2 linked regions of the Rhinolophus ferrumequinum genome follow. The protein of the gene in region 1 interacts with the protein of each later gene in a biochemical or structural test. Links are inferred from orthologs where the notes say so. Each region holds a gene or a part of one and is shown on either strand. Other genes may lie near its edges. The genes, in order: AXL and GAS6.

What was found.
Region 2: the proteins of AXL (region 1) and GAS6 form a complex in vitro, tested with the Homo sapiens proteins (2 studies listed by BioGRID and IntAct, with this or other methods). The link is inferred for Rhinolophus ferrumequinum from reciprocal best matches to the Homo sapiens genes AXL and GAS6.

The regions. Positions count from the first base shown.
Region 1 is NC_046298.1:39,557,076-39,572,487, forward strand, and holds the start of AXL (tyrosine-protein kinase receptor UFO), read left to right. Parts: upstream 1-9,478; 5' UTR 9,479-9,977; coding exon 9,978-10,041; intron 10,042-11,139; coding exon 11,140-11,362; intron 11,363-11,688; coding exon 11,689-11,789; intron 11,790-12,308; coding exon 12,309-12,485; intron 12,486-15,412. UniProt on the Homo sapiens protein: Receptor tyrosine kinase that transduces signals from the extracellular matrix into the cytoplasm by binding growth factor GAS6 and which is thus regulating many physiological processes including cell survival, cell proliferation, migration and differentiation.
Region 2 is NC_046287.1:56,165,274-56,180,178, reverse strand, and holds the start of GAS6 (growth arrest-specific protein 6), read left to right. Parts: upstream 1-7,731; 5' UTR 7,732-7,917; coding exon 7,918-7,996; intron 7,997-8,259; coding exon 8,260-8,426; intron 8,427-14,905. UniProt on the Homo sapiens protein: Ligand for tyrosine-protein kinase receptors AXL, TYRO3 and MER whose signaling is implicated in cell growth and survival, cell adhesion and cell migration.

The sequences.
Region 1 (15,412 bases):
CACAAGGCCACTCAAGCTTTCTACAGACATCGTCTATTGGAATCACAACCACATGCTCAGATAACCTACTAACTCACACACAACACAACTCGCCTGGACTCGCAACCCACACGTGGGAGTTCAGCTGCCACCTTCACAAAGCCACCAAAACAGCCACTGTGTTCAGCACCCACACACCTTCGTCAGTCATCAAACTTACCAGTGCCACCATCTCTGGGAGCCTGGTGCATAGAACATGCCCCCTCCTGGGTCATGTCACCTCCCAGAGAGACTGTCCCTGTCCTCAGCCCTCAAATGACCACACCCTGTCCAGGCACATGACCATCACCATCCACACACCCCCAACCACTAAGCCACTCAGCCAGCCCACGAGTGACGTTGTCCTAGCTCCTGACTATCTTCCCACAGAGACACCCCACTCCCACTGAGTCATAGCCTGCCTCTGCACCTTCAGCCCTCAAGGACACCCTTTTCCAAGTATCCTAACTCCAAATTCTTCCAAATACAAATACACCCCCAGTGTGCAGTTGTGCACACAGGCCTGGGAACCAAGTAAACTTGGACACACAAGGACCCTCAGATCAGAGGAACCTTCCACGCACTCCAGCTTATATAACCGTGTTGAAAGCCTCCCTTGCCCCTTCTGCCCCCGCCCCCAATGCACACAGTGACCCACCAGCCCTACTCAAAGTCCTAGTTAGACTCACTGGAAGGGGCTAGACAACCAAGTAGGGGCCAGATTTCAACTCCTTATGTCAGGGAAGAGGCCAGGTCTGCTGTCCTTGGACTGGAAGGTCCGTGTTTTGCAATAAAAGTTTGTTTCTGGCCCCCGGTCCAGCCCCGTGGCAGGGCCGTGTGTGTGTGTGTGTGTGTGTGTGACAGTGTCCATCATTGTAAGGGGTGGGAATGGAGGGTCCACCCCTCCCTCGAGGCTGGGCGGGAGCTGAAAAACATGGCCCCCGCCCACCCTGGCTGTTGACATCAGTACCAGATGTGAGGTTGGGGGAGGGGGGCCTCTTCTGGACTCACTTCCGGTGAGGCAGATGAGGGAGGGCTGGGGGGGGCAGGGAGAAGGTAACGGCAGAACTGCATGCCTGTGGGTGGGGGTGCCTCTGCCAGAGAAGCCTGAAAGTGATGTATCCAAGCCCTGGGAACTCTCCCAATCTGAAAGCAGATGCTGAAATACAAACCCTAACCCTACGCCCGCCTCTTCCACTATCCTTTTTCTCCTGCCTTCTCTAAGAAAAGAAACGAGAAGCATCTTTTTATTTGTTAATTATCTATTAAGGAAGCTTTTAAACAAAAGTAGAGAGACTAGTACAATAAACCCCACTGGCCTCATTTGGTAATCATCCCCTCTCTGCTATTTTTATACCGTTTTCTGCTAGTTTTATTTCATCCATCACCCTTATAATTATTTTTAAATCATTGAATATGCATTTCTAATAGTAAAGAACATCCCCCCACAAAGTTTTATTACGTGAATTTTCAAACATGCAGCAAAGTTGGGGGAATTACACGAGGAAGCCACCCACTCTTCCGTGTGCCACTGCCTGGATTTGGTTTGCTTTAGCACATTTCTATCCACCTGTCCATCCAGCTAACTTTGTTAGGCGTTTCAAAGTAAAATGCAGATACCAGTTTATCTGCCCCTGAATGCTTCATTCAGCAATGCATGTATCATTAAAGTCTTTTTTTCTAGTTTTCCACAATATTATCCCTTTATTTTATTTTATTTATATGTATTTATTTATTTTGGCTTAAGTTCTATAGAGGTAGCCCAGAACAGTGATATAGAGAATTGAAAGATGAGAGTAGGATCAGATCCTAACTTTGCCACTCTAAAGCTAATCACCCCTTGACTTAGAGTATAGCATCTAAAAGACTAAAATGTGAAAAATTCTGGGACTCAATCGGAACAAAATACAAGCTAAGTCCGTGGGTTTGCTATTATTACGGATTTTTTATGCATCAATGTTGTGGACAAAAAAAGGGCCACATACTAAACCTGACAAGTGTGGCGGGCCTTACAAACTCTGAGACTGAAAGTAACCACGCAGGATGGTCTGGACATAAAAATTCCTAACTAAAAGGGACTCATGGCGGGTAGTCCCATCCTAGGCCTGTAGCCTCCTTGACAAACATCAGTCTTTGCCTTAAGAAGCCTGTCTTTTTGCATCTAACATAACAAAGCTTTGAAATGTCAGAGTAATCTCTTTTTCCAGACCCCTGGGCACAAGCGCCAGCACCAGAGCGCGACATCACAGAACCCCTCTTGTTATCTTGTTCTCCGCATACCATCTCTGTGTACTACAAATGTTAATTCTTAACTATCCTGTACTCGCCAATGTAAAAGGAGTATGTGTCTCTCCGTTTTACTTTTTATACAATCCCAGAGATTTCCCTCTTTGCTTTCTCTCGTCCCCTTAATCTACCACCAATGGATTCCATGTAACCCTCCTTACGTCTCCTTTGATTCTAATGTCTAAAAGAAGCTGCAAAACTCCATTCTCTGGAGTGTTTCTCAGTCCGTTGAGATTTTGCTTCCCAGTGATTGTCAGTTTGGCTCAAACTCTCAAAAGTTCTCTAGGGGTGGCTGAATAGCTCAGTTGGTTAGAGCACAGTGCTCTTAACAAGGTTGCCGGTTCGATCCCCGCATGGGCCACTGTGAACTGTGCCCTCCACAACTAGATTGAAACAACTACTTGACTTGGAGTTGATGGGTCCTGGAAAGACACACTTAAATAAAGTTTTTTTTTTAAAGTTCTCTACAGGTTTGGACATTTCTTAACGGTGACATGAAAAGGAATGAATGAGGTTTAAGGTTTTCTCTTTTTAAACTAAGCAATGACTTGCTTTCCTTTTCACTCACAATTCACATTCAGGGAAATTTGGGATCAGAAATACAAGCAAACTCATTTAAGAAAGGATGGATTTTGCACTGCATCAATATGAAAGGTGACATGAGTTAGGCTGATTTCAGTTGCAAGCAAAATATAAACTCAAAATAGTTTAAGCAATAAAGTGTTATTGGACCCCAAAATAAAAGTATTTAGAATCTGTACAGTTTGTGTGTGTGTGTGTATGGTAAAATATGCATAACCATAGTTATCATTTTAACCATAAGTGTACAATTCGGTGGCATTAAATACATTCCCTGCGTAACCATCACCACTATCTCTACTCTCAAATTTCATTATCCCCAAAAAAGACTCGTAATTTTTTAAAACAATAGCTTGCCCTTTAAAAATTGCTTTTTAAAAGTCACAACCATACCCATTTTCACAGCTAACACACTGAGCAGTTCTGCCATCAGTGTTCTCAGATTCCTGACAGTCTCCTGAGTGTAATTTATAATTGGGTTTCTTCAAACAAGGGCCCAAGGCTCACCACATGTTGCCTTCGTTTAAACCATCTTAGGTCTTCTATGTCTGCAACCATTCCCCCACCTTTTGAGTGCCACTTATTTCTTGAAGAAACTGGGTCCTTTTTCCTGTACAATTTTTTCATATCCCGGATTTGGCAAGGGCCAGATTCTAACTTCCTGTGTTAAGGAAGAGACATCTTTGTGATGCCGCTCAAGCTGTCCTTCCATTCCCAGGAATTCCCTATAACCTGGGAATTAGATATGATTTGGGCTCATCTGGCAAGAGCTCCTCATTGGAGGTGCTGGTCCCTTCCTCGAGCATCACATCCTAATAAACAGTGGTACCGTAGTGCATCTAGGTCCTGACCCCTCTGGTAGAAAGTTTCCTGTTAACTTTCCACTTACTGGCTTTAGCAGAGGGGCCCTTTAAAACCAAATCAAATCAGGTCTGCTCAGAGCCACCCAGTGGGGACGCCTGGCGCACTGTTGGTGGGGATGTAAATTGGTGCAGCCACTGTAAAAAAACGGTATGGAAGTCCTTCAAGAAATTAAATATAAAATTACCATATGACCCAGCAATCCCACTTCTGAGTATATATCCAAAGGAAAAGAAATCAGTACCTCAAAGAGATATCTGCACCCCGTGGTCATGGCAGTATTCTTCACAATAGCCAAGACATAGAAACAACCTAAATGTCCACCATCAAATGAATGAATAAAGAAAATGTAATATACATTTGACCCTTGAAAAACGTGGGTAAGGGGCTACAACCCCCCCACCCCGTGTAGTTGAAAATCCATGTATAACTTTTTTAAAGTTTAATCAAATATTTTATTAAATCAAAAAAGGACAAGAAAATAGAATTAAGGGACAAAAACCAGATGAAACAAATAGCAAAATGGTAGACACAAGTCCAATTATCTTAATAATCATATTAAATGCAAATGGACCAAATATTTCAATCAAAAGGCAGAGATTCAGACTAAATATAAAAACAAGACCCAACTATATCGAGTCTACCAGAGGGTGCAATTTAAGTTTAGTCAACCCACATGATTGGATGTCCTCACCAAGCAAAGGTATCCTAGGGTGTCCAGATTTTGGCAATTGAGGACAAGTTATGAAAAAAAGAGCAGGTTTCTCTAAAATAGCAAGATTCAAGAGGACAGGACATAGACCTTAATAGGAAGAGTCAAAAAATCAGTAGCCATTTTTTAAAACATCCATAAGGATAAAACTACCTTTGCTATAGGTACGTGTGTAACTTTTGACTCCCCAAAAACTTAACTGCTAATAGCCTACTGTTGACTGGAAGCTTTACTGGTAATATAAACAGTTGATTAATGCATATTTTGTATGCTATATGTATTATATACTACTGTATTCTTACAATACAGTAACCTAGAGAAACTAAGATGTCAAGAGAGTCATAAGGAAGTGAAAATACATCTAGAATATTTATTGAAAAAAATCTGGGGGTGGCCGGATGGCTCAGTTGGTTAGAGCACAAGCTCTTAACAGCAAGGTTGCCAGTTCGATTCCCAGATGGGCCAGTGAACTGTGCCCTCCACAACTATGCCTTTCAACGTAGATTGAAAACAACAACTTGACATCCTGGAAAACTACACTATTCCCAAATATTCCCCAATTAAAAAAAAAAAATCTGCATATAACTGAACCTGCACAATTCAAACCTGTGTTGTTTGAGGGTCAGCTGAGTGTGTGTGTGTGTGTGTGTGTGTAAAATGTATAAAATGGAATATTATTCAACCATAAAAAGGAAATCCTACAACTTGTGACAATATGGATGGAACTTGAGGGTACTATGCCAAGTGAAATAAATCAGACAGAGAAAAGCAAATATTAATACTCTATGATCTTATGATCTTAGTTACTCATATATGTAGAATCTAAAAAAGCTGTACTCATAGAAACAGAGACAGATGTAATGTACAGCATGATGACATAGTTAATAATATTGTACAATACAATAATACTGTACTGTATATTTGAAAGTTGCTAAGAGAGTAGATCCTAAAAGTTTCCATCACCAGAAACAAAACTTTTGTAACTATATATGATGAGGGATGTTAACTAGACTTACTGTGGTAATCATTTTGCAGTATGTACGAATACTGAATTACTATGTTATACACCTGAAACAAATGTAATGTTATGTCAATTATATCTCAATAAAAATTAATTAATTAATTAATTAAAAAGAAACAAGGGGCAGAATGGTGATGGCCAGGGGCTGGGGAATGAGAGATATGAGAAGATGTTAGTCAAGGGTACAAACTTTCAGTTATAAAAATGAATAAGTTCAAGGATCTAATATATAACATGGTGATTATAGTTAATAATACTGTAGTGTATAATTGAAATTTACTAACAGAGTGGATCTTAAATGTTCTCACCACACACAAAAAATGGCAACTATTTGAGGTGATGGATGTGTTAACTAACTTTATTGTGGGAATCATTTCAAAATACATACATACAGCTCTTCCATTCTGCTGCCATCGCTGAAGAACCAGCAGCCAAAATGAAGTTCAACATTTTTGTGACTTCTGACCAGAGCAAGAACGGTAAAAGGCATTTCAATGCGCCTTCCCACATTCGCAGGAAGATTATGTCTTCTCTCTCCAAAGAGCTGAGACAGAAGTACAATGTCCGATCCGTGCCCATCCGAAAGGATGATAAAATACAAGTTGTACGAGGATATTACACAGGGCAGCAAATTGGCAAAGTAGTCCAGGGTTACAGGAAGAAATACGTCATCTACATCGAGCCGTGCAGTGGAAGAAGGCTAATGGCACAACTGTTCAGGGGGGCATTCACCCCAGCAAGGTGGTTATCACTAGACCAAAGCTGGACGAAAACCGTAAAAAGAACCTTAAATGGAAAGCCAAATCTTGCTAAGTAGGAAAGGAAAAGGGCAAATATAAGGAAGAAACAATTGAGAAGATGCAGGTATAAAGTAATCTTATGTACAGCTTTCATTAAAAACTGTTAAGATGAAAATGAAAATACGAGTGTGTGTGTGTGTGTGTGTGTGTGTGTGTGTGTATTAAATCATGTTATACACTTTAAGTTTGTTCAATTTTATTTGTCAATTATATCTCAATAAAGCCAGTGGGTTATGTCATTATTAAAATAGCCAAAGTTCTCGCTAGGCCAAGGCCCTCCCTGACCTCACCTCCTCCCTGACACCCATGCTTTTCAGCCACATGGGTCTCTTCCTTGAATTTCTGCACAGCCTACCTCCAGGCCTTTGCACTGTCTGTTATCTCTGCCTGGAATGCCCTTCCCTACATGACTCACTTGCTAATTTACTTCAGATCTTGATCATAACCTCAGAGAGGCCCTCCTTGGCCACCTTCTCTAAAATGATGCTCCCACACTTTGCTATTCTCTCCCCTGCTTTATTTTTCTTCACTGCTCATGTTGCATTCTGATAAATGCTTATCTGGTTGTTGTCACACTTTCCCTAGGAATATGAGCTCCATGAGAGCAGAGATTTGTCTTGCTCACTGTGGAATCTCCAGCCCATGGCACAGGGAACATTTCTATCCACCTCATTTTTTAAATGCATTTGATAGTAAATTGCAAAAATGAGGTCTGACCATTAAGTTCATGAACTCATCCTAGAACTAGTACTACATATCTCATTGTTGAATATCACTACGGTCACCTTCGAAATACTCCTCTTGGGAAGCTATGCACTGATGCCAGCATGTAGTCCATCCTTCAAAGCAACTTTGGAACTCTTTTTCTGGAATGGCCATCAGAGCTGTTGTCATATTACCCTTGATGTCTTGAATCTCATCCAAATGTCTTCCTTTCAATATTTCCTTTATCTTCGGGTAAAGAAAGAAGTCATTGGGAGCCAGATTATGTGAGTAGAAAGGGTGTTCCAATACAGTTATTTGTTTACTGACTAAAAACTCTCTCACAGACAGTGCCATGTGAGCTGGTGCATTGTCGTGATACAAGAGCCATGAATTGGCCAAAAGTCCAGGTGGTCTACCTTTTCACGCAGTCTTTTCAGCACTTCCAAATAGTAAGCTTGGTTAATTGTTTGTCCAGTTGGTACAAATTCACAATGACTAATTTCTCTGATATCAAAAAAGTTTAGCAACATTGTTTTGACTCTTGATTTGGACTGACAGAACTTTTTGGTCGTGAATTGGCTGACTTCCATCGTGCATTTTGATGCTTTGTTTCAGGGTCGTGTTGGTATACCCATGTTTCATCACCAATGATAACATTGTCCAAAACATCATCTTGCCTCTCCAAAAGATCTTGGCAAACTTCTACTCTCCTTTGCTTTTGTTCATCAGTGAGCTCCGTCGGGACCATTTTTGCAAACACCTTTCTGATACCAAGGTTTTCAGTTAAGATTTTCCTAACTGGAGGTTGATGGGTGGCTCAGTTGGTTAGAGTGCGAGTTCTGGGCAACAGGGCTGCTGGTTCGATTCCCACATTGGCCAGCAAGCTGCGCCCTCTGCAACTAGAATGAAGTCAATGAGCTGCCGCTGAGCTCCCGGGTAGCCAGATGGCTCAGTTGGTTGGAGCGTGGGCTTTCAACCACAATGTTGCCGGTTGGACTCCTGGACTCCTCGACTCCCACAGGCATGGTGGGCTCTGCCTGCAACTAAGATTGAACACGGCACCTTGAGCTGAGCTGCTGCTAAGCTCCCGGATGGCTCAGTTGCTTGGAGTGTGTCCTCTCAACCACAAGGGGTTGCCAGTTCGACTCCCGCAAGGGATGGTGGGCTGTGGCCCCCTGCATCTAACAATGGCTACTGGAGCTGAGTTGCACCCTCCACAACTAAAATTGAAAGGACAACAACTTGACTTGGGTGGAGCTGATGAGTCCTGGGAAAAACACACTACTGTTCCCCAATAAAAAGTCCTGGAAATACACACTGTTCCCCAATAAAATCCTTTTCCCCTTCCCCAATAAAATCTTAAAAAAAAAAAAAAAGATTTTCCTAACTGTTTTTCTATTGATGTTTACTTGGTCTGCTATGCTTCTCACCGTCAGCCGATGATTTTGATGCACAATTCGATGAATTTTTGCAATGTTTTCGTCAGTTCTGCTCGTTACTGGCCACCCTGACCTCTCTTCGTCAGTAACGCATTCTCTTCCCTCAGAAAAACGTTTAATCCGTTTGTACACTGCTGTTTTCTTCATGACATTATCCCCATAAACTTGGACTAACATGTCCCTGATTTCACTTGCACTCTTGCCAAGTTTAACAAGACATTTAATGTTTGTTCGTTGCTCTAATTCAAACCCAGACATTCTCGTGACAGCAGAGACCCCCATGTACAAAACACATAGGGGCATGAAAATGGACACATAGCAGAACCAACCCACAGGCACTGGATCTGCAAGGAGCAGGATACACAATCCCACCAGAGGGAGACCCCAATGCAAGTACACAGAGACACACAGATGAGATGCAAAAAAGTCAAGGGCACCTTGTCAGCTGTTGTCACCACAGTCACCATGTGCAAAGAACTGAATGTTCACTAACCCAGGACATCCTCCCTCTAGTCTGGTAAGTGGATTCTATTCTCATTCCCACCTTACAGATGGACAAACTGAGGTGCAGGGAGACCAGTCACTTCCAAGGTCACATGGTTCCTGGTAGGGCTGGGTTCCCAGCCTGGGTCTTTAGGCACCCCTGTGGGTGGCTCCCACAGAACAAGCTGTGGTCCTGTTTCTGCACCCAGGTGTGTCTTTTTTGCGTGAAGCTCTGGTCTCCCAGGAGTACCCTGAGTATACCCCAGGGATGCCCACCTAGCAGGTGTTCTCCTGGTTCTGGTTTCTGAGGTTTCTCCAGGAATGGAGTTCCTGACCCAACTTGTCTTCTGAATATGTCCCGTGGGCCGGCAGCGTGCCCCTGCGTGTCTTCTCCTGTCCCAGCCTCTGTGCTTCCATGACATCTATGTGTGTGTGTGTGTGTGTGTGTGTGTGTGTGTGTGTGTGTCCTTGTCTGAGGAGGAGCTGTGAGTGCGAGGGGAGTGTCGGGCTGGGGCTGGGCTAGGGGTGGAGGCCCGGGAGGGGGGGCTCACACAGGCTGAGAGGGGAGTGGAGTTCTGGAGGAATGTTTACCGGACACCAAGAGAGCCCAGAGGGACAGCGCCCAGAGCTGGTAGAGAGACGCACAGCCTCCCAGTCTCGCTGGCCCAGCTGGCCCAGACTTAGGGGCGCAGCCACCAGGGCCCCTTCTCTTCCTCAGCCTCCCTTCAGGGCCCCTTTAAGACGGCTGGTCCTCTTCTCTCTAAGTTAACCCCTCAAAGTCCAGGTGTCCCCTGGGCTCCAGGCCTGGTGGGCGGAGGCAGGGGGAGCCAGGGGCGGGGGAGAAAAGGTTTGACGAGATCTGGGAGGGAGAGAAGAGGCCGAGGAGCAGGAAGGCAGCCACCAAGAGGAGCCGGGAGGCGTCCCTGCCTTGCCAGTCGGACAGTGCCAAAGCCGGGGAGCGTGGAGCTGGGGGGAGGGCCGGGGACAGCCCGGCCCTGCCCCCTCCCCCACGGTGTGCCCAACAACTTCTGAGGAAAGTTTGGCAGAGAAGCCGCGAGCGCGGTGCCCGGAGGATGGGCAGGGTCCCGCTGGCCCTGTGGTTGGCGCTGTGCTGCTGGGGGTGCGTGGTCCCCAAGGGTGAGTGATGGGGGCTTGTGGGGGAAGACCACCCGTGGAGGGGCTGAGGCAGAAGGGAGCGGAGGGGGGTGGATGGCAGGTGAGTCCTGCGCTGGCTCAGGGAAATTCCTTGGGACAACAGAGGGAAACAGGGAGACACAGACAAACCCAGAGACCAGGGACAGAAGGGGTTCCAAGAGAGGAACAGAGGGACAAGAAACAGAAACTAGGAGGGTCAGAGACGGGAAGAGATGGACCGACAGAAAGACAGACACCCAGGAGAAGCTGAGGGCAGGGGTGGGAGCTGCACTTGAATGGGGGGCCCTGGGGAGAGAGTCTGAGATGGGGGCTGAGAGGGAAGGAATGTTCCAGAAAGGAGCACTCAGTCAGACAGCGAGGCGAGGAGGGCTTGAGAACCCTAGGGAAAACCCTGGTACAGTCACTCCTCCACTTGTTGCTGCCCCACCACTGTCTCTGTCTGCTCCATCTCTGGGGTGGGGTGCCTGGATCTGGCTCCAGCTCTGCCATCTCTTTCCCTGTCTCCCTGTCTCTGTCTTTGTTTCTCCCCATTTTCTAGATGTCTCTATCAGTGTCTCTCTCAGTCTCTGTTTCCCTTTGTGTGTCTCTCCCCCCACGTTTTTCCCCTCTGGGGTGTCTCTCTCTTCAGCTCTCATTCCCGCTCTCTCTCCGGGTCTCTGCTTCTCTCTATCTCTGATTCCCAGTGGCCCTGACTCTCTCTCTCTCTCTCTCTCCCTTTTCTTCCCGCCATTCACCAGCCTGATTTATCAAGTCTCTAGAGACCCTAAAAGAGGGCATGGGGGCAAGGGCTGGCCCTGAAGGCAGTCTGGGGCGTGGGAGGCTGCCAGATCCCGGGCCTACTTCCCAACGATGAAGGATGGAGGCTGGACAAGGATGGAGGCCGGACCCCAGTCTCCTGGGAAGGCTCCCATCCTCCCCTCAAAGCCTCCTCCCTCCACCCCCCGTTGAGGTCACTCTACAACTATGTGGGCCTAAAGGCCTAGCAGGGTCCTGGCAGCCTTAGGCAGGCCAGGAGGGCTGGAACTGAGGAGTGGAGGGAAGCGGGGGCTCCTACGCTGACTCTTCCCCATCTTCCTGCAGGCTCACAGGCGGAGGTGGACCCCTTTGTAGGGAGCCCGGGGAACATCACTGGTGCCCGGGGACTCACAGGGGCCCTTCAGTGTGAGCTCCTGGTTCGTGAGGATCCCCCTGAGGTGACCTGGCTTCGGGATGGACAGGTCCTAGACCTGGTGGACAGCACCCAGATCCAAGTGCCCCTGGACGAAGACGGAGAGGATGACTGGAAAGTGATCAGCCAACTCAGGTGACCAGTTTCTCCCTGACCAGTCATGCCCTACGTTCCCCTTGACCCCTGTGCCCCCATGTCCGTCATATGGTGGGTGAAGAGTCACCTGCAGGAGCTCCACCTGATTTAGAACCCTAGTCTGGCTACTCAATAGCTGTGTGGCTTTGAGCATGTGACGTAATGCTGGGTTTCGCTTTCCTCTTCTGCAAAATGAGTTAATTATAGTGCCCGCTGCTTAGCTCTCATGAGTTTCCAGTCCAGGTCCCCCTCTTTCAGTTCTGATGACCCCTTCCCAGTGTCCAGCTCTAACCTGAACTCTTCTGTCCCTCCTTTGTCCCTGTCAGAATCTCGTCCCTGCAGCTCTCGGACACGGGATGGTACCAGTGTGCGGTGGTCCTGGGAGGAAGGACCTTCGTGTCCCAGCCTGGCTTTGTCGGGCTGGAGGGTGAGCCCTGGGCTCAGAGGTCATGGGAGGTCAGGAATCCAGAGAGGTTAGAAGGTGCTGGAGGATTCAGCATGTTCCCTGGCATTCCAGCCTAGAAATGTCAGAGATCTTGGGGGGTCAGGGGGACAGGGCTAGGTGGAATTACATGTCCTGGGGAAGAAGACATCTTGGGGGTTGTTGGATGTCCTGGGGTCAGTCATGGTTGGAGTAGGACATTCTGGAATCAGATAAGGAGTCAGAGGCATGACAACCCTCGCCCTCATCCCCAGGGGCCTCCCTTCCTCGTTGGTAAAATTAGAAGTCAGACATTCTGCAAAAGAGACATGAACGGATCAAATATCTTGGGGATCCCACATTGGTCGGGGGAAGTCAGATATTGGGATCATGTGTCCTGGGGACAGAGACCTGAGGGGACAGATATAGGGGTTAAAGACCCTATAGCCTCCAATAACTTAGCAGTAAAACAGACACCTGTGGGGCTCAGAGGGATCCCAGCCTCTACCACCGCCCCCCACCCAGGCTTGCCCTACTTCCTGGAGGAGCCTGAGGACAGGACTGTGGCCGCCAACACCCCCTTTAACCTGAGCTGCCGGGCCCAGGGACCTCCAGAGCCTGTGGACCTACTCTGGCTCCAGGATGCTGTCCCCCTGGCTCCGGCCACGGGCCACGGCCCCCACCACATACTGCATGTTCCAGGTGAGTATGGATATATGGCCAGGTCAGTGCAGAAGCCTTGGAAGGATGGAAGTGGCGGGCAAGGGAGCCCTTCATGCCTGTGTGTGTCTGTCTGTCCCTCTGTGGTCTGTCTGTCTCTGTCCCTGTGTCTCTCTTTGTCTCTGACTCTGCCTCTGCATCTCTGCTCCTGTCTACCTCCTCTGTTCTCTCCGTATGCTTTCTCCATCTCTTTGTGTCTCTGTTCTCCATCTCTCTTGGTTTCTCTGTGTCTCTGCTCTTTTTCCCTCCATTTACCCCAGACTCTCTCTGAATAGAATTCTTTGTCTTGGGTTTCCTCTGAGCTGTTCCATGGCCCATAGTGTCTGTGGGCCCAATGGTCCTTTGTCAGCACTAGACCCCAAGCAGGGCACTGGAATCAACCATGCCTTCCTCTCTTCCACCTCCCCCAACCTGCCCACCTCTGTTACTGAAGGGCCCCACTGGGGCAAAGAGTGGGGAAAAAGTGGGAGGCAGAGAAAAAACAGTTACAGAGAGAAAGAAAACCAGGGACACAAGAAGAAACAGACCACAGGGGTAACCCGCGATGGAGAGACAGGACAGGAAGGTCTGTCCCTCAGGGTAACCATCCCCAGGCAGGGTCACTCCAGCCTCAGGGTAACCGTCCCCTTCCACACCACACAGACGAGGCAGGACCTAGCTTGGGGTCACACAGAGGCCAGAGGCAGTGCTAGGGGACTGAAGTAGCAGGGGTTCCCCCTCACTGAGGAAGGAGAGAGGGACATAGAAGAGTGAGGCTCAGTCAGTCAGAAGGAAATGGCTGGACTCCAAAGGGTATCAGCTTCCGTGTGCTGGGATGGGGAGGGGACTTCTGACCTAGGGTCTCCTGGGGTAGAGGGAGGTGCCCACATTCCCAGCATTCCAGGGGCCCTAAGTGTGCAAGGAAGTGGTGGTGAGCATGCCAACCCCCAGAAAGGTGACTCAGGGCCCCGGCTTTGGGGCCTGAGTCAGCCTGGTAGGATCCTGGAGTGGGGGTGGGGGAGGGGGCTGGTTCCCCCACACCGTCCCAGGAAGAAGGAGAACTGGGGGTGGGGGGGACCACATGGTACCACTGTGTGGTGGAGCTGTGTGTGTGTGTGTGTGTGTGTGTGTGTGTGTGCGCGCGCGGGGGGGAAGCCGTGTGTGTCCGTGTCCCTCTCCACGTGTGTCTCGGTGTCTGTTAGCATCAACCTCTTTGCACGAGGGTGTGTCTTAGAGAGGGTAGCTTCTGTGGTTGTTTCTGTGTGTGTGTGTGTGTGTGTGTGTGTGAGATTCACAGCAGGTAGTAACAGCACCCTTCTGCTTCTGTCTGGCCTGAGTGGCCTTTTGGTGGATGAACATGGGCGCTGAGCAGCCAGTGTGTAAAGTGTGTCTGTGCCGTCCGTGTGCACATGGCAGCTTCTTCACACTTGTGTGTCTGCCGTAACCCTACGTGTGTGTGCGCTTTTGTATTAGTCGGCATCTCGGTGAATGTGTCTGAAGCATCCTGAGTCTGTCCAGCTGTGTTTTGAAGGCTTGGCTGTGCTTGTGTGTGAGCAAACCCACATGAACTTTTTTGGGTCCTGGTGTGTACCTGTCTGTCTGCTTCAGCCTCGATGTATGATTGTCGCTGGGTGTGTGCGTTTCAATATGCAGGGAGGTTTGTTTGTCTGTCAGCAGCAGCCTAGGTGTGTGTTATCTTGCTAGGTGTTTGTAGTCAATGTATGCGCATTTGATCATATGTTTATGTTTGTGTCTCTTCCTGTATATGTGTCACTGTCAGCCCCTGTGTGTATACATGTAAGTCACTGAGTGTATATTTGTCACTATATGTGTGAGAGCATCAGCCCTGCGTGTAGCTTAGTGAGTGCTGCATTTTCTGGTTTTGTGCCAACAGTCACTGTGTGTTAAGCGTGATTCATTAAGTGTGTGTGGAGGGGGCTGTCTCGGGGAATTTCATCCGTTTGTGTGTGTCTGTCCCTCAGTCTGACTCAGTACATGCTCCCTTTCTCCTTCCATCGCTCTCATTCCATCGGAAAAAGCACAGGGTGGGGGGAGCAGCAGGAGCAGAGGGGAGCTGGACAGTGCATCTGGAAAGCGCATCTGCTCCAGTCATGAAGGGAGAGCCTGCTGGAGGGGAGGGGTCCCAGACCCCTTTGTCCCTGCTCTTTTTCTCTCTCTCGCTCTCCCTCAAGGTGCTGGGGCCTGGGAAGGGGGATCCTGGGCTGTGCCCCACAAGGCCAGCTGAAAGTGCGCAGGGAAGGGGGGGCTCCTGGTGACTCACTCATGCGGGGGCAGGAATGCTGCGGTTGGAACAGGACCGGGCTCCAGGACCCCCCTCCTGCCCAGGGCTCCTCTAGTGGGCAGCGGGAGCTCCCGTGCAGTGACCCTGACGGGTCCCCACGTGCCAGGTGCCTGGACAAAACCCAGGCTCCCTGCCCCCGCGGGCTGTCGGCCTGCCCGGGGCTGTCATGTCCCTCCCCCAGGCAGCGGGGGTTGCGGGCGGGCACCTGACCTTGGCTGGGAACTGGCGTCTGGGCAGAGGAGCTGAGGACCTTCCCTGCCCACCCCCTTCCGGCCTCTGCCGACTTTCCCTTCTTCCACTCCCTCTGCTGACTAAGAATAGGAAACTTTGTGTCTGCGGGTAGATGGTGGTGGTGGGAACACAGGCACACACGCGCAGAACAAGCACAAGAGACATACGCAAGCTCCCAACATCCCCAGCCACACATCAGCACAGAAATACCGACAGGCACAGAACTTCAGTCACACATACAGACTTAAGACGTGGTCCTCCTTTCATCAGGTCACCCAGACAGCGTGTGTGTGTGTGTGTGTGTGTGTGTGTGTGTGTGTGCGCATCTGTGTATATTGTGTGGCTGTGTGTGTTGTGTATCTGTGTGTCTGTGCTTCTTATGTTGGTCTCTGTACTT
Region 2 (14,905 bases), on another chromosome or scaffold:
AGCAGCATCAGGCTTGAGCGTGTCCTATACCTCTGGCTGAGCAGCCCTAAGCTCAGCACTAGCAGAAGCCAGCCTTGGTTCACAGCTTGGCCTCTCTACGCACTTTCAAGCATGGCACAGGCGGCAGCCATCTGTGGATTTCTTTCTGGCTCCCACTAGGTGGCTCCAGGTGGAGCAGGGGCTGTGGCTGAAATTGACCTACAGTGGATCTCTTCCAAGGTGGTCTTGGGGCTAACCCCCAGTGGACAGCTTCAAAATTAGTTGGTATATCACCCAGCCACCTCCAAAAATGACACACCCATGGGGCAGATTGGGCAGGCACCAGGGTGCTGCTGAGGGAATTCCTGCTCTGTATTATCAGTCCCTGCACAACAATTCTTCCACTGTAGTTATGGCCATTCCTCACAACCAGTGAGCCCATTGAGCACCCATTGATGTGCAATTATCAACCAAGGCTCAACTACAAGAGGAGGGCACACACAATCCACACAAGGGACACACCCGGAGTATGCGGCTCAGGTGACCAGAAAGGACTGCACCACCACGCCCTATAGCACACCCACTACATAAGAACATTCTACTAAGACTGGGAGACATAGCAGCCCTACCTAATACAGAGAAGCAAACACAGGGAGGCAGCCAAAATGAGGAATCAAAGAAACATATCTCAAATAAAGGAACAGAACAAAGCTCCAGAAAAAGGACTAAACAAAATGAAGAAAGGCAATCTACCAGACGCAGAGTTCCAAACGTTGGTTATAAGGATGTTCAATGATCTCAGGGAGAACTTTAACAAAGAGATAGGAAACATAAAAATGGAGATAGAAAACATGAAAAAGAACCAGTCAGAAATAAAGAATACAATAACAGAAATGAAGACTATATCACAGGGAATCAAAAGTAGATTCCATGAACAGAGGATCCAACCAGTGATATAGAAGATAAAGTAGTAGAAAACACCCAACCAGAACAGCAAAAAGAATCCAAAAAATTGAGGAGAGTTTAAGGGGCCTCTGGGACAATATCAAGCATATGAACATTTTCATCATAGAGGTACCAGAAGGACAAGAGCGAGCACAAGGAATTGAAAACCTATTTGAAGAAATAATGACAGAAAACTTTCCTAACCTGGTGAAGGAAATAGATATACAAGCCCAGAAAGTACAGAGAGTCCCAAACAAGATGAACCCAAAAAGGCCAACACCAAGACACATCATAATTAAAATGCCAAAGGTTAAAGACAAAGAGAGAATCTTAAAAGTAGCAAGAGAAAAGCAGTTAGTTACCTATAAGGGAGCCCCCATAAGACTGTCAGCTGATTTCTCAACAGAAACTTTGCAGACCAGAAGGGATTGGCAGGAAATATAAGTGATGAAAAGCAAGGACTTACAACCAAGATTACTCTACCCAGCAAAGTTATCATTTAGAATTGAAGGACAGATAAGGAGCTTTCCAGACAAGAAAAAGCTAAAGGAGTTCATCACCACCAAACCAGTATTACAAGGAATCTTAGAGGGACTTCTTTAAGAACGAAGTGGGGTTAGGGATAGTTGCAAAGAGGAAGGGATTAAGAAGTATAAATTGGTTGTTACATAGTAGTCATGGGGATGTAGGTTATAGCATAAGGAATATAGTCAATAACATTGTAATAACTATGTATGGTGCCAGATAGGTACTAGATCTATCAGGGTGATGGGGTTGGGGGCAGGGTGAAAAAGGTGAAGGTATTAAGAAATACAAATTGATAGTTACAAAATAGTCATGGAGATGTAAAGTATAAGGAATATAATCAATAATATGGTAATAACTATGTATAGTGCCAGGTGGAACTAGTCAGGGAGATCACTTCCTAAATTATATAAATGTCTAACCACTATACTATATACTTGAAACTAATATAAAATAATATTGAATGTCAACTCTAATTGAAAAATTTAGAGGACCTGAAGAGACATTTCTCCAAAGAGGACATACAAATGGCAAATAGACATATGAAAAAATGCTCAACATCACTAATTATCAGAGAAATGCAAATAAAAACCACAATGAGATATCACCTCACCCCAGTCAGAATGGCTACCATCAACAAGACAAATAGTAACAAGTGTTGGAGAGGCTGTGGAGAAAAAGGAACCCTCATACACTGTTGGTGGGAATGCAGACTGGTGCAGCCGTTATGGAAGGCAGTGTGGAGGTTCCCAAAAAAATTACGAATAGAATTACCATATGACCCAGCAATCCCTCTCCTGGGTATCTACTCAAAAAATCTGAAAACATTTATACATAAAGACACATGTGCTCCAATGTTCATCGCAGCTTTGTTTATGGTGGCCAAGACATGGAAACAACCAAAATGTCCTTCGATAGATAATGGATAAAGAAGTTGTGGTATATATACATAATGGAATACTATTCGGTGGTAAGAAAAGATGATATAGGAACATTTGTGACAACATTGATGGATCTTGAGAGTATGATGCTAAGTGAAATAAGTCAGACAGAAAAAGCAGAGAACCATATGATCTCACTGATATGTGGTATATAAACCAAAAACAACAAAAGAACAAGACAAACAAATGAGAAACAAAAACTCATTGACACAGACAATAGTTTAGTGGTTACCAGAGGGTAAGGGGGGTGGGGGGTGGAAGATGAGGGTAAGGGGGATCAAATATATGGTGATGGACGGAGAACTGACTCTGGGTGGTGAACACACAATGGGATTTATAAATGATGTAATACAGAATTTTACACCTGAAATCTATGTAATTTCACTAACAATTGTCACCCCAATAAATTCAAAAAAGAAAAATTTAAAAAGGGGGGAAAAGAGCAATAATATTGTGATAGTGTGGTACAGTGTCAGATGGTTGCTGGACTTATCATGGTGATCACTTCTTTAGCATAGGAAATAAAATCAATAATGTGGTAATAACACTGTATAGTACGAGGTGGGTACTGTTGAATAACTATGATGTATACCTGAAACTAATATAATATTGTATGCTAGCTGTATTTTAATTAAAAATCTTAAAATAAATAAATAAAAGAAAAATAGTCTATTCTAAAAAGAAAAGAAATACCCTCATAACATGGAAGCAAAGATTCTTAACAAAAATATTGCAAACTGAATCCAACCATAGTTTATAAAATGACCAACTGGGGTTTATCCCAGGGATGCAAGGTTTATTTAACATTTGAAAATCAATCAAGACAACTCACATTTTAATGAGTACAAAAAAAGAAGAAACATATGATTGTCTCACTAGATGCAGAAAAAGAATTTGACAAAACCCAATATCTATTACTAATTTTAAAAAACCTTGCATAAAATTAGAAATAGAAAGGAACTGCCTCATATCGATAAAAAGCATCTCTGAAAATCCTACAGCTAACATTATGCTTAATGATGAAATACTGAATTATTTCCCTAGGGTCAGGAACAAGACAGACATATCCACTGTCATGATTTCTAGTCAACATTGTAATGGAGGTTACTAGACAGACAATAAAGCAAGAAAAGGAGTAAAATCACCCAGATTTGAAAGAAGGAAGTAAAATGTCTATATTTACAAATAATCATCTTGTTATTTTGCATAATTATCTATGTAAAAAATCCTATTGAATCTACCAAAAAAAACATTGAAATTAATAATTTAGTTAAGCAAAGTTGTAGAAGACAAATATACAAAAATCAAATGTTTAAAGAATCAGAAATTGAAATTTAAAAATTTGCAATAGGATGAAAAATATAAAATATTTAGGAACACATTCAAAATGAATCATAACCATAAATGTAAAACTTAAATCTATAAAATTAAGAACATCTTTGTGACCTTAGATTAGGAAAATATAATCCCAAAGGCAGACTTCATTAAAAATTATAGAAACTGTACTTCAAAATTAAGAACTCTGTTCTTTGAAAAGCAGAGTTTTCATTATTTAATGGAATGAAAAGAAAAGTCACAGACTGAAAGAAGAAACTATGTGGTAATCGCACATCTGATAAAGGACTTGTATCCAGAATATTTAAAGAACTCTTATAACGCATCAAATAATTCAATAATTGGAAAAGGAAACATCCCAAGTAAAAGAAAAAAAGATAAGAAAATTTAAACAGACACTTCATCAAAAACTACATTTGGATGGCAATAAGCACATTAAACAACATCATTAGTATCAGAAAAATGCAAATTCAAGCCACAATGAGATACCACTATACACCTAACTACTAGAAATGCCTAAAATTAACGACTAACTACAGCAGCTGGAATTCTCACACTGCTGGTTGGAATGTAAAATGGTAATCGCTTTGAAAAACATTTTGTCAGTTTCTTAAAAAGTTAAGCAAATACCTATCACATGGTCCAATCATTCTGCTCTTAATATTTCCCCAAGAGAAATGAAAGTTTATATGCATACAATAACTTGTATACAATGTTCATAGCTACTTTATTGGTAATAGCCAATAACTGGAAACAAAAATGATAAACAAATTGTGGCAGATCCATACAACAAAATACTACTGAGCAATAGAAAGGAATAAACTATTGATATACACAACAATGCAGACAAACCTGAAAATATGCTGAGTGAAAAAAAAACAGACAAAAAAGTCTGCATACCGTATGATGCCGTTTATGTAAAAATTCCAGAAAATGCCCACTGTTCCATAGTGACAGAAAGCGGGCCGGTGGTTTTGCCTAGGGATGGAGATGAGGATGGGGCAAAGACGTTCAGAAGAGACGGATGACCAGAGGGAATGAGGAACTGTTTTTGAGTGATGGGTATGTTCTTAACTTGATTGTGCTGGTGGTTTCTCAGGTATATACATATATCATTGATGTGTCGAAACTTATGTGTGGAGTTGGTTGTATTTTCACTACATCTCAGCAAAGCTGTTTAAAAAACAAACAAAACCCAAATATGATTGGTTTGGTCAGCACTCAGCACAGTGTCTTTTAAGACAAATAGCAAGTACAGTTGCTTGAACAACACAGGTATGAACTGTGCAGGTGGGTCCTGCACATGGATGGTTTTCAATAAAATACATTTTGTCCTCCATATCCCCAGGTTTCACATCTGCAGGTTCAACCAACCACAGATCGAAAACAGTGTTTTCGATCCAGGGTTGGAAATTCACGGATGTGGAGGGCTGACTGTATGCATTGTTCTATGCCATTTTATATAAGGGATTTTTGACCATCTACAGATTTTGGTATCCAAAGGGGTTCATGGAACCAATCCCCCTTGGATACCTAGGAATGACTGTTGTTAATTAAGTTTCTGGGGAGTCAAAAGTTATAGGTGGATTTTTGACTGTGGGGGGGAGTTGGCTACCCCCCTCCCCATGTTGTTCAAGAGTTAACTGTACTCAACTCACATTTATCGAGTGGATACCTAAATGAATGGTCTTATTACCTTGAAATCACCCACAGATGTGATGACAGAACGGCGAACGGAGAAGTTTCATTTCTCTACAAACACCTCATTTCCTACCTTACCTCCTACCTCACCTCCATACTTTCATCCCCGTTTATCCTTGGAAAGAGGAACCACTGGCTTTCCACCTCCTGATCATGGGCTGGTTGTCCATATAAAGCAGGGGTGTCCAAAGTTTTTTCAACGTTTTTCACCAAGGGCCATATGCGGTAAAATACACAAACAGCCGGGCCACTCACTCGAGGTGAAGTACGTATTTCCTCACCTGGTTTATTTATGTAAACCAAATATAGTTTTGGAATTTGTTGCGGGCCAATTAAAAATGGATTGCGGGCCGTAGTTGGCCCATGAGCCGCAGTTTGGACACCCCTGATATAAAGCATCCATTGCCCCGAGTCTAACCTGCCCCTTGTGGAGGTGAACTGTCTACTTCATCATTGCTATTTCAAGGTATATAATATAGTGCCTGACAACTCTTTCTGATTTTGGAACACCTTATCCAAATTGTTTCTTATTCATTTTCTATTTCTGCCTTAGAGTAAATTTTATGCATTCGTAACTAGGTTGAAAAATTGGGCCTTAGCTTGGGTCAAGCATCCTCCACTGCTCCCCATGATTGCTTTCTGCATTCCGCAGTTATCAGAATCAAAATGAGCGAGTGTCTGTGAATGCTTTTTATTAAATGAAGTCTCTATGTAACGGGAGGTGTCATGATTATTGGGATACCAATTCAGTAGGAGTGAATGGGGAATATGGAAAAGGGGAGTGAGGTCCGGGCTAACAGGTCAGGGGACCTGAAAGACTGTCCAGTGTGGCCATACTGATGCCTGGTCACCTGAAGCAGTGGGTTGACACCCAGGCAGACCCTCCCAGAGGGACATACATAGAGGCCAGAATGCTCATTCTTATTCAGATCAAACTGAGAACTGCATAGACTCTATAAACTGTCTTCTCCAAACACACAAATAACGGAGAAAAACACTGCAAACAATTTCTAGGAATTCACACACATCTTGAGATCTATCCATGGGCTGCTAGCTTAGAACCCCTGAGAAATAATAGATAGATGTTCTCAAATACAATAGTCTTTCTAAGCTCCGTGGTGTTTGCTGGGTGCTGTCATCACTAGGCTGCATTTGAGTTGCTAGCTGACAAAGAAGTGCCTTGTTACTCTAGTTCAGACACAGGTACAGATGGCTTATCTTTTATTTTTTTATTCAATTTTTCCCCCCACCCCTGGCTTATCTTTTAAATTGTCAATTCTTTGAAGATGGTCCTCAAGAACATTAATTTCCCAGAATTTAACATATTAATGTGCATTAACCCCACCTTCAAACCAATGACCTTAAAGAATTCTACCAGCAACGCTATTTCCTTCTCCTACTACAGAAGGGGAGCGGCAACTGAGAGGTCCAGACTGTCTGTGTTGAACCCACCAAGCAAAATGACCAACCGTTTGGGGTGGAGATGACTCACTGCCCCTTTTCTCATCATTTTGAGTGCATAGGGGAGGAGGTGTGTCCAGAGCAGTTTTCTCCAGAGGCAGGGTTCAGGCCTCCGCTCCTGCTGCATTGCCTGCTGTGGTCCCCTTTGAGTGGTCTGCTATGTGTTGGTTTCTTTTGGTGTTTTTTGCCTGTGACTTTGCGAACTATCCCGGGAGGAGAGACAGAAAGTCTTGGTATCTGTGAACAAGCACAATGTTGCTTTCAGCTTAAATATCCACTGGGAAACCTCAAGGTTTTCAATGTCATTATTATGGAAAACAAAGATTACAAAAGGAAATAACTTAATGTCACTCCCCGGTCCCCATTGGGATTCAGTTTGACCTCGGTTTATCTTTTCTTTGGTGGGTTTTAAGTCTTGAGAAAATCTACCCAAGAATGAAGAATCCACAAAGGATGTGGTAGACTTGGGTTGAGGGCGGTGGGATGGGGAGGGAGGTTTAAATCTGCTAACTGGTCAACTTGTACTTGGTCACGTTGTACCTGGGTGTTATTTCTTCTGTCCTTTTCCCCTTCCGAATTAATACAATCAATCGCGACTCCGGAGAAATTCCTCCGGGGCGCACTAGTTTCAGCAGCCCGCCTGTAAAGTCGCCACGCCCCGATGACCTGTTTCCCCTTCAATCTTTGATCTTCATAGCTAAAACCTGCTCGGGCGCCGGGAGGCTGGTGGGAGCTGGCGGCCCCGCCCGCCCGGCGCGGCCCCGAGGCCAGTCCTGCCCCCGGCCGCGCGCCCCGCCCCGGCCACCCCCGGCCGCGCCGCGGCCTCCGCCCAGACCGGCTGCGAGCCCGAGGTGCAGCCGCCGCCGTGATGTGACCTTCAGAGCCGCCTGCACAGGATGACCGGAGCCACCGCCCCGCGGCGCCCGCGGCTCGCCACGGCCTCCCGGGCGCTCTGACCGCGCGCGCTCCCGGCTGCCCGCCCGTCTCCCGTCCCCGGTCCGCTTCCCTGGCCCTTGGCCCGGTCCTCGCCATGCCGCCGCCGCCCGGACCTGCCACCGCCCTGGGCACCGCGCTGCTGCTGCTCCTGCTGGCCTCGGAGTCTGCGCACAGTGAGTACCGCGTAGGGGCCGCGGCGCTGGCTGGATCGAGAGACCCTCCCTCAAAAGATCCCGCCACCCCCGGGACAAGGGCAGAGCCAGTGCCCGCACCCCAACCGGTCCCCGTGCTCCCCCGGCCGGTGCGCTCCCGCCCAGCCACCGCATCCCCAGGCCCGCTGCTGGGAGGACCGAGCGTGCGGGGCCCGGGTTAACAGCGTGTCCCGGCTCTCTCTTCGCTCTCTCCCCGCTGCGTCCTCCCGCCGGCATCGGTGCAGCCGTGATGCTGCGGGCGCGCGAGGCGGCTCAGTTCCTGCGGCCCAGGCAGCGCCGCGCCTACCAGGTCTTCGAGGAGGCCAAGCAGGGCCACCTGGAGAGGGAATGCATCGAGGAGCTGTGCAGCAAGGAGGAGGCCCGGGAGGTGTTCGAGAACGACCCCGAGACGGTGAGCGCGGGGGCCGGATGCGCCAGCGCTGTGCCGGGGAGGTGGGCAGGTGGGAGGTGTGCGCCGCGGCTGGGCGGGACTGCCGTGCGGAGCTCTAGGGCCGACAGGTCACCTCGAGCGCTGTCCCTGCAGCACCGCATTTCTGGGGACATCCATCAGTGCGCGCCCTGGTGGGGAGCCCCGGGGTTCCCCAGGCACCCCAGAGTTCCCTTCCCAGACTCTACGGTGAGTCCCTCATGTGGGGGCTACAAGTCACACTCTGAACTCTTAAATATGGAGACATCGTGTTCAGGAATAGTGAAAGGGCAAGGATTTAGGGTGTCGGAATCCCGGCCCGCCCTCAAGCGTCCTCCGCACCTTTTGAGCCTCAATTCTCCAGGTGACCCCCAGGTGCTCTGGTTAGCTGGAGGCAGGAGCACATCTTTGAGCGGGGTCCTGTGGAGCCCCTGCAGTTAGTTCCCTTCATTATCAGACCTCTAGAGGCAGACACCGTAAAGGAAATACGCTATATATGGCCCCTCCGCCAGAAGGCAAGAGAGGCCGTTTGTAAAATGTAAAAGAAATGCCTTGGTTAAAAAACCCAAACAGCTTCGTACCTTCCCTCCGCCTTAGCTGGATTGGAGGTGAGGGGTGGGGCTGTCCAGGCTTCTTGAACCTCATGGAGAGGATGGAGGGTTTGCCAGAAAGAGGAAGTGAAAGATGTGAGGGCTAGAATTGCTTGCAGTAGCAGGTCCTAAAATATGATTACAGGAATAGTGCTAGACCATATATTGGGGGGAGGTAGGATGGAGGGGAGGGGGCACAGAGTCAGGGGGACCTAAGGGAGGAAAGTGCAAAAGCTCCCCCTCACACACAGGCACCAGCCCCTTTCAGCAAGATGCTCCTTTAGAAGCATCTGGTGACTTCAGGAGCCTGATGGTGCTGGCTCAGGACTTATTTCTATTAATAATGTCCTTGGAGAATGTGGGGCGCCAGGCAGCCAACTGCAGAGAGCAGCTCAGGTGTGGACTTGGTCTGTGCAGGAGCTGTGTGATCTTAAGGGACAGGAGATGTGTAAGAACATTTGTGGTGGTTATGACCTGTGGGACCTAACGGAAGCCCTAGATATCTGTTACAGAGCAAATAACTTGGGAAAATAGAAGTGATAGAAGTGGGGTGGACTTACATTACGTCACTTTATGCTGTGAGATCAGGGTGATTTCACAGCTGTTTTGGGTTCTGTCAGATTTTTTGCTTTTAAAGAATTCCTCTGGAATGAAATAAATGTCACATGCAATAAACGAATGGCTCTGTGTGACTGAAGTAGGCTTCTTTTCGACTTATATTTCTGATTGGTTGACTTGACAATCCCTTTTAAGTCCTCTTTCTGAAAACTGGCTTTAAAATTATTGACTCTTTTGTGCAGCTCTCTAGCTATGGTAGCGTTATTTTCTCCATTGTCACTGCTTTCAGTGTCAATAGCAACACAGTTGTATGTAGCAGGTTTGCCAGTCTTTACTGACCCCACTGTTTCCCCGTTTCTTAATGATGAATCCTGGTGACTCAGTGAATCATGCTCCTGCAGAGGATTTCTGAAGGTCCTAGCAGCAGGGCTGTGTGCCTGGCCACCCAAGGTCACTGCCCAGTTATGGAATTGTATGACAGGTGCAGTGTTCTCTATCCCCATGCCTACTCTGGACTGTTGCTTGTGCAGAAAATGTGGGATGGGGCTTGCAGGCGACAAGAGTTGAGAGTAACAAGGCTGCCATCCACCCAACCAGCCCTTTCCCTGCCCCCACCCCAGTTTACCAGGACAGAAAAACCCTGGCCCGGCTTTCCCTTGCTGTCTGGACATACTACCCATTAACCACAGTGCCACTTTTCTCAGAATGTTTATCCTGTCTCTGACTGTAATTGCTGTTATGTTATCATTTTAACTTTATTTGCAAATGTATGGAGTGAAGATGAGGAAAAAAAAGTGTTCTCAATCCCATAACTTGAACGCAACCATTGTTCTTTCAGAGTGGGTCTGCGTGCAGGGACTTTGCTCTTTCCTGTGAGAGCTTGGCTTTCCCTCCCTTCCGAGGCATAGCCGAGTTGCTTTAAGGCTGCGGGTGGCGTCCTCTCTCACAGTCTGGTCCCATCAGGAGTTTGTAAACTCCTTTTCATATCAAAGCATTTTATAATTTTCTAGAATTCTATCCTCCTTCCCAACACTGACCCCCAAATAGTAAGTATCTTTTGTTATTTATCAGCTTCCCAGGTTGGACTGGTTACTTCTGTATCTTCCCTCCCAATCAGTTGGATTGCAAGCCCTTCATTTTAACTTGAACCTTGCATCTTGTGTAGACTGTTGTCTAGACCATGTGCTCTGTCTGGATTTGGCCCTTGGCTTGTTTTCCTTTTCCCAGAGAGGCAGTGTAGAATGCTGAGAGGAGCCAGATTAGGGTTGGGGTCAGGAGTCAGAGTTAGAGGTCATGGGGTTGATTCGAGTCCCAGCTGCTCCGGTAGACCAGTTGTCCACTTCAATGTCCATATTTTCCATTTCATCCAACTCCTTGCTTTGGGGAGCTCCATGCTCTCTGGGGTGGAGAGACCCTCCAAATACAATTCATTGCTAATGTATCATAGTAAAAACAGCACTTTTGAAAGAGGCAGTCCTGCGAAATAGCCAATGAGTTCCTCTGCTCCAAAAAGTTTGGGGCTCTCACTAGGAAATATTTATTCCTTGCTCCAAAAGTAGCTCATTTTGCATTTTTTTTTTTTTATATTGAGGCTGATGGTCACCAGGATGGTGAACACTGACCTTATTTAGTTTAAGAAGTGCCCAGGACCTGGCCGTGTGACTGCCACAGGACCTCGAGGGCCACAGTGCCCTAATGTGAATGGCTGCCCCAGAATTGGCGTTTCTTGAATTGTGATCACCTGACTGTCTCATAGTGGTGCTTGTAGGAGATGCCAGTCCTCACAAACCAGGGCCACCTTCATGGCTGATTCCACCTGCCCCGCCTCACTGTCTACCAGGTTAGGGTGCTGGAAGTGGCTGGCCTGTCCTCAATGTCTGGCCCAGTTGTAGACACACTTGCCCAGCTTAGGCTCTACCTTTGACGGAGTTTACAACACTTCTCTTTCCTGCTGTACTACCTCTCCTGTTGCCATTCCTGGGACTCTGGGGGTACGGTACCCTGGTAGAGGAAGCCCCAGGGAGGGACTGGGAGAGCTGGGGGCGGGGGGCTTGGGCACCTGGATCCAGCTCTATAGGCTGCAAATCCCCTTACTGAAATTTGGAGGTTTGTGTTTGTTGAGCACATGCTCTGTGTTGGGTGTGCTCTAGGTTTTCCTTTCTGATCTGGATCTTTCCAAACTGGGCTGTCTTCCTCTTTTTGGGGAGGGAAGGTGCCTGACTTTTAAAGCTCTTCTCCTTTTAGCAGTTAGCTGTTAGCACAATTCCTGAGGTTATCACACACTTGTGCTGGAAAGGAAGGGAAACTGGGTGGGGTGGGGTGGGGCTGGTGGTGCCTTCTTGAGTCTCACATCTTGGCCACCAGCTTCCTTCCTGGGGGCAGATGATCTCCCTCTGGCATGGAGGGGCCAAATGGTCTCCCAGCCACATTCTTTCAGGCTCTAGGGGAGTGCCCGGCCACCCATGGTTGCCACTGCTAATCCCTGTCCCTCCTCTCCAGAGTCCAAGGGGTGATTACATTCCCTCCTTATCTTGTTTCCTTTTATGTTATTCTCTCTTCCTGGTATTTCCCTCTCCCTTGTTTTTCTGCCTTCTGGGACCATGGGTCGTCAATCCCCCAGCTGTCTCTGCTGGGATTCTCCTGAGTTCTTCTGAAAGCTCACCCAGGCCAGCCCAGAAGAGTCACCTTTCTACTTAAATTCTTTAAGGCAAGTGGGTTCCAGACACTTTAAAGACACCATCTCAGTGATTATCCTTTGCTTCTGGAAAGCATTCTGGATAAAAGTTTACCCCTGCCTGACCTGCTGCCCAGGTACATGTCACCACCTGGCAACACCTGGTGCTTGCTCCTGCAGCTAAGCCATGACGCTGATAGGAAAACAATTCCAGGTTGCAGTTTTTGACCCCACCACCTGGTTTAATTTGAGATACAAACAACAATAATTACAATATTAGTAACTGGCTGGTGATACACCCTGAGAATTCACAGCATGCATGGCCACTGGCTCGTGTTGGAGGGCGTCTCTCCCACCCCCGTGTCTCTCTGTCTCTCTCTCTCTCTCTCTCTCTCTCTCTCTCTCTCTATATATATATATATATATATATATATATATATACACACATATATACCTCTCGCCCTCTTTGTCTCTGCACCCATCTCTCTCTACTTCACCCCCATTCCCCCCGTTCCAGCTCTCACAGACATAGTGGACCCAGCTGTGGTGATGGGGTTTCTACTTCAGAGGGTTTAGGGGTACAGTCAGTTTCAGAACCCTACAGTGCTGCTGGCCATGTCTTGAACTGCGTCTGCCCTCCAAGGACACCCATCTTCCTGAGGTTCCAGATTATTTGGGGACAGCTTGGATAGGAGGACCCCCTACAGAGGTGAAAGACCCTCCCTCAAATCTTGCCTTTCTGGCGTGGCCTCAGGGATCTCATGAGGGCAGAAGTGGGCCCTGCAGGAGGGTGGGGAGGGAGGAGGAGTACCTTGTCACTCCCAGTGACTTTCCTGTGCAATGCCGGTCCCCTGGCTGGAGTGGTGACACTGGCTGTGTCACCTCCAGGATAGCTGCTGCCCACCTGCCCCCAGCACCCCACTCTGCCTTGATAGCAACCCTCTCAACATATGCACATACACACCTACACACACTCAGGCACACACACACATGTACACGCATACACAGTCCTGTACCCACACATACACAGACACTCAGACACATACATGCATACAGACACACACAGACACAGTCACAGCCCACACAGACACATAGAACACATACAGACACATATAGTCACACACCCACACATACACAGACACGTGTGCTCATACTCGTCTCTCTGCAACTTTGAGGTCCAGTAAGAAGTGAGCCCAGGTCCCTCACCTTGTGTAGGCCCAGCCCCTGCCCCTTTCTCAGGTTTCTGTCTCTAGGGGAGCATCCTGACTCCAGGGGAAGTGGCTGTGCTCCCACTGACTACTGGAGGCCAAGGCTCCCCCTCCTGGGACCTCTTCCATTTGGGCTTTTGCCACTGGAGGCCTGAGAAGGTCTGTCACAGGGGATGGGTCTCTGAATTGTTGTTCGACCGGTTATGCTTTCCTCGGTTATGCTTTCCTCGGAGTTGGCTCCCACACAGCTCAGAGGCCAACAGATGGCTGGTTAGACCAGGGCCAGCGCCCAAAGGTTCCCAGCACCCAGCCTGCCGCTCTTCCAGGAGTGGGCCTTGAGCAAGAGGCAAACCCTGTCTGGCTCCCCTGGTCGCCTTTTGTTGTCCCTGTGCCTACCTATGTGTCTGTTTTAATCCTAGGAGGCTGCAGGGACTTAGAGCCAGGCTCTCCAGCGTAATAACAGGCCAGGCTCTATAAATTATACCTCATCCTCGCCAGTGGGCTCAACATCTGCAGAAAACCAATTAAAGACATTTCGAGAAACACTGAACGCCTGCCTTTGTTATTTAGGAACAAAACACCCTTTTAAGAAGCTGATTCTTAGGGCCTGTGTCTTGAGATTCCAAGTAGCTGGGGCCAGGACATTCCAAACACTTCCCAGGTTATTAGGCTCCAGCACCGCTGGCAGATGTCCGAATTTCTTCATGCTTCGTTTTCCCCTTGTTTTCCTAAGGTCAACATTGGGAGCTGCTTCTGTAATGCACAGAGTTGTTATGGCTTGAGGGTTAGTATTTGATATTGGAAATGGTCTGTACCTCTTCAATGGTTATTATAGTCTAATGATTTTATTGTAAACCTGGCACATATTCCTTGTAAAATTTTAACCCTGACAGAGTAGTTCATTAAAATTTTAAGTTAATTTTTAAAGCAGCGTGGCAAGTGGAAGAAGTTACGAATGACATCAGTGCTTCATTTCCCTCTGACAAAGGCACAGATCTGCTTTGACTGATTATATTGATTAAAAATATAATATTCAGGAGCGAGAGTAACATGTTACTGTCTTACTTCTTAATATCATACTTGTTTTCTTGGACTTTTTTTTTTCAAATTGTAGGTGAAATTTCTTTCCAGTGTTAATGCCCATGATAATAAAATACATTTTTCCCCCATATCTGTCCCCCAAACCTACCATCGAGACCCAGTTTTGTGAGGACCTCTTCTTGGAATGTTGTAATCCATGGAAATCACACAGCTGGGCTCAGCCAGCTCCTGGGGGTGGGCTTGTGCTGGTCACTGTTGTGGCTGCAAACTCCACCACACAGGGGCCCCCCTGAGGCCGGGCTGGGGCCGTCTGCCCGGGATGGTGGGTGTGACTGGCGGCTACAGGTGCAGCTCCCTGGAACCTTCTACTGTGGATACACATTTCTTTAGTGT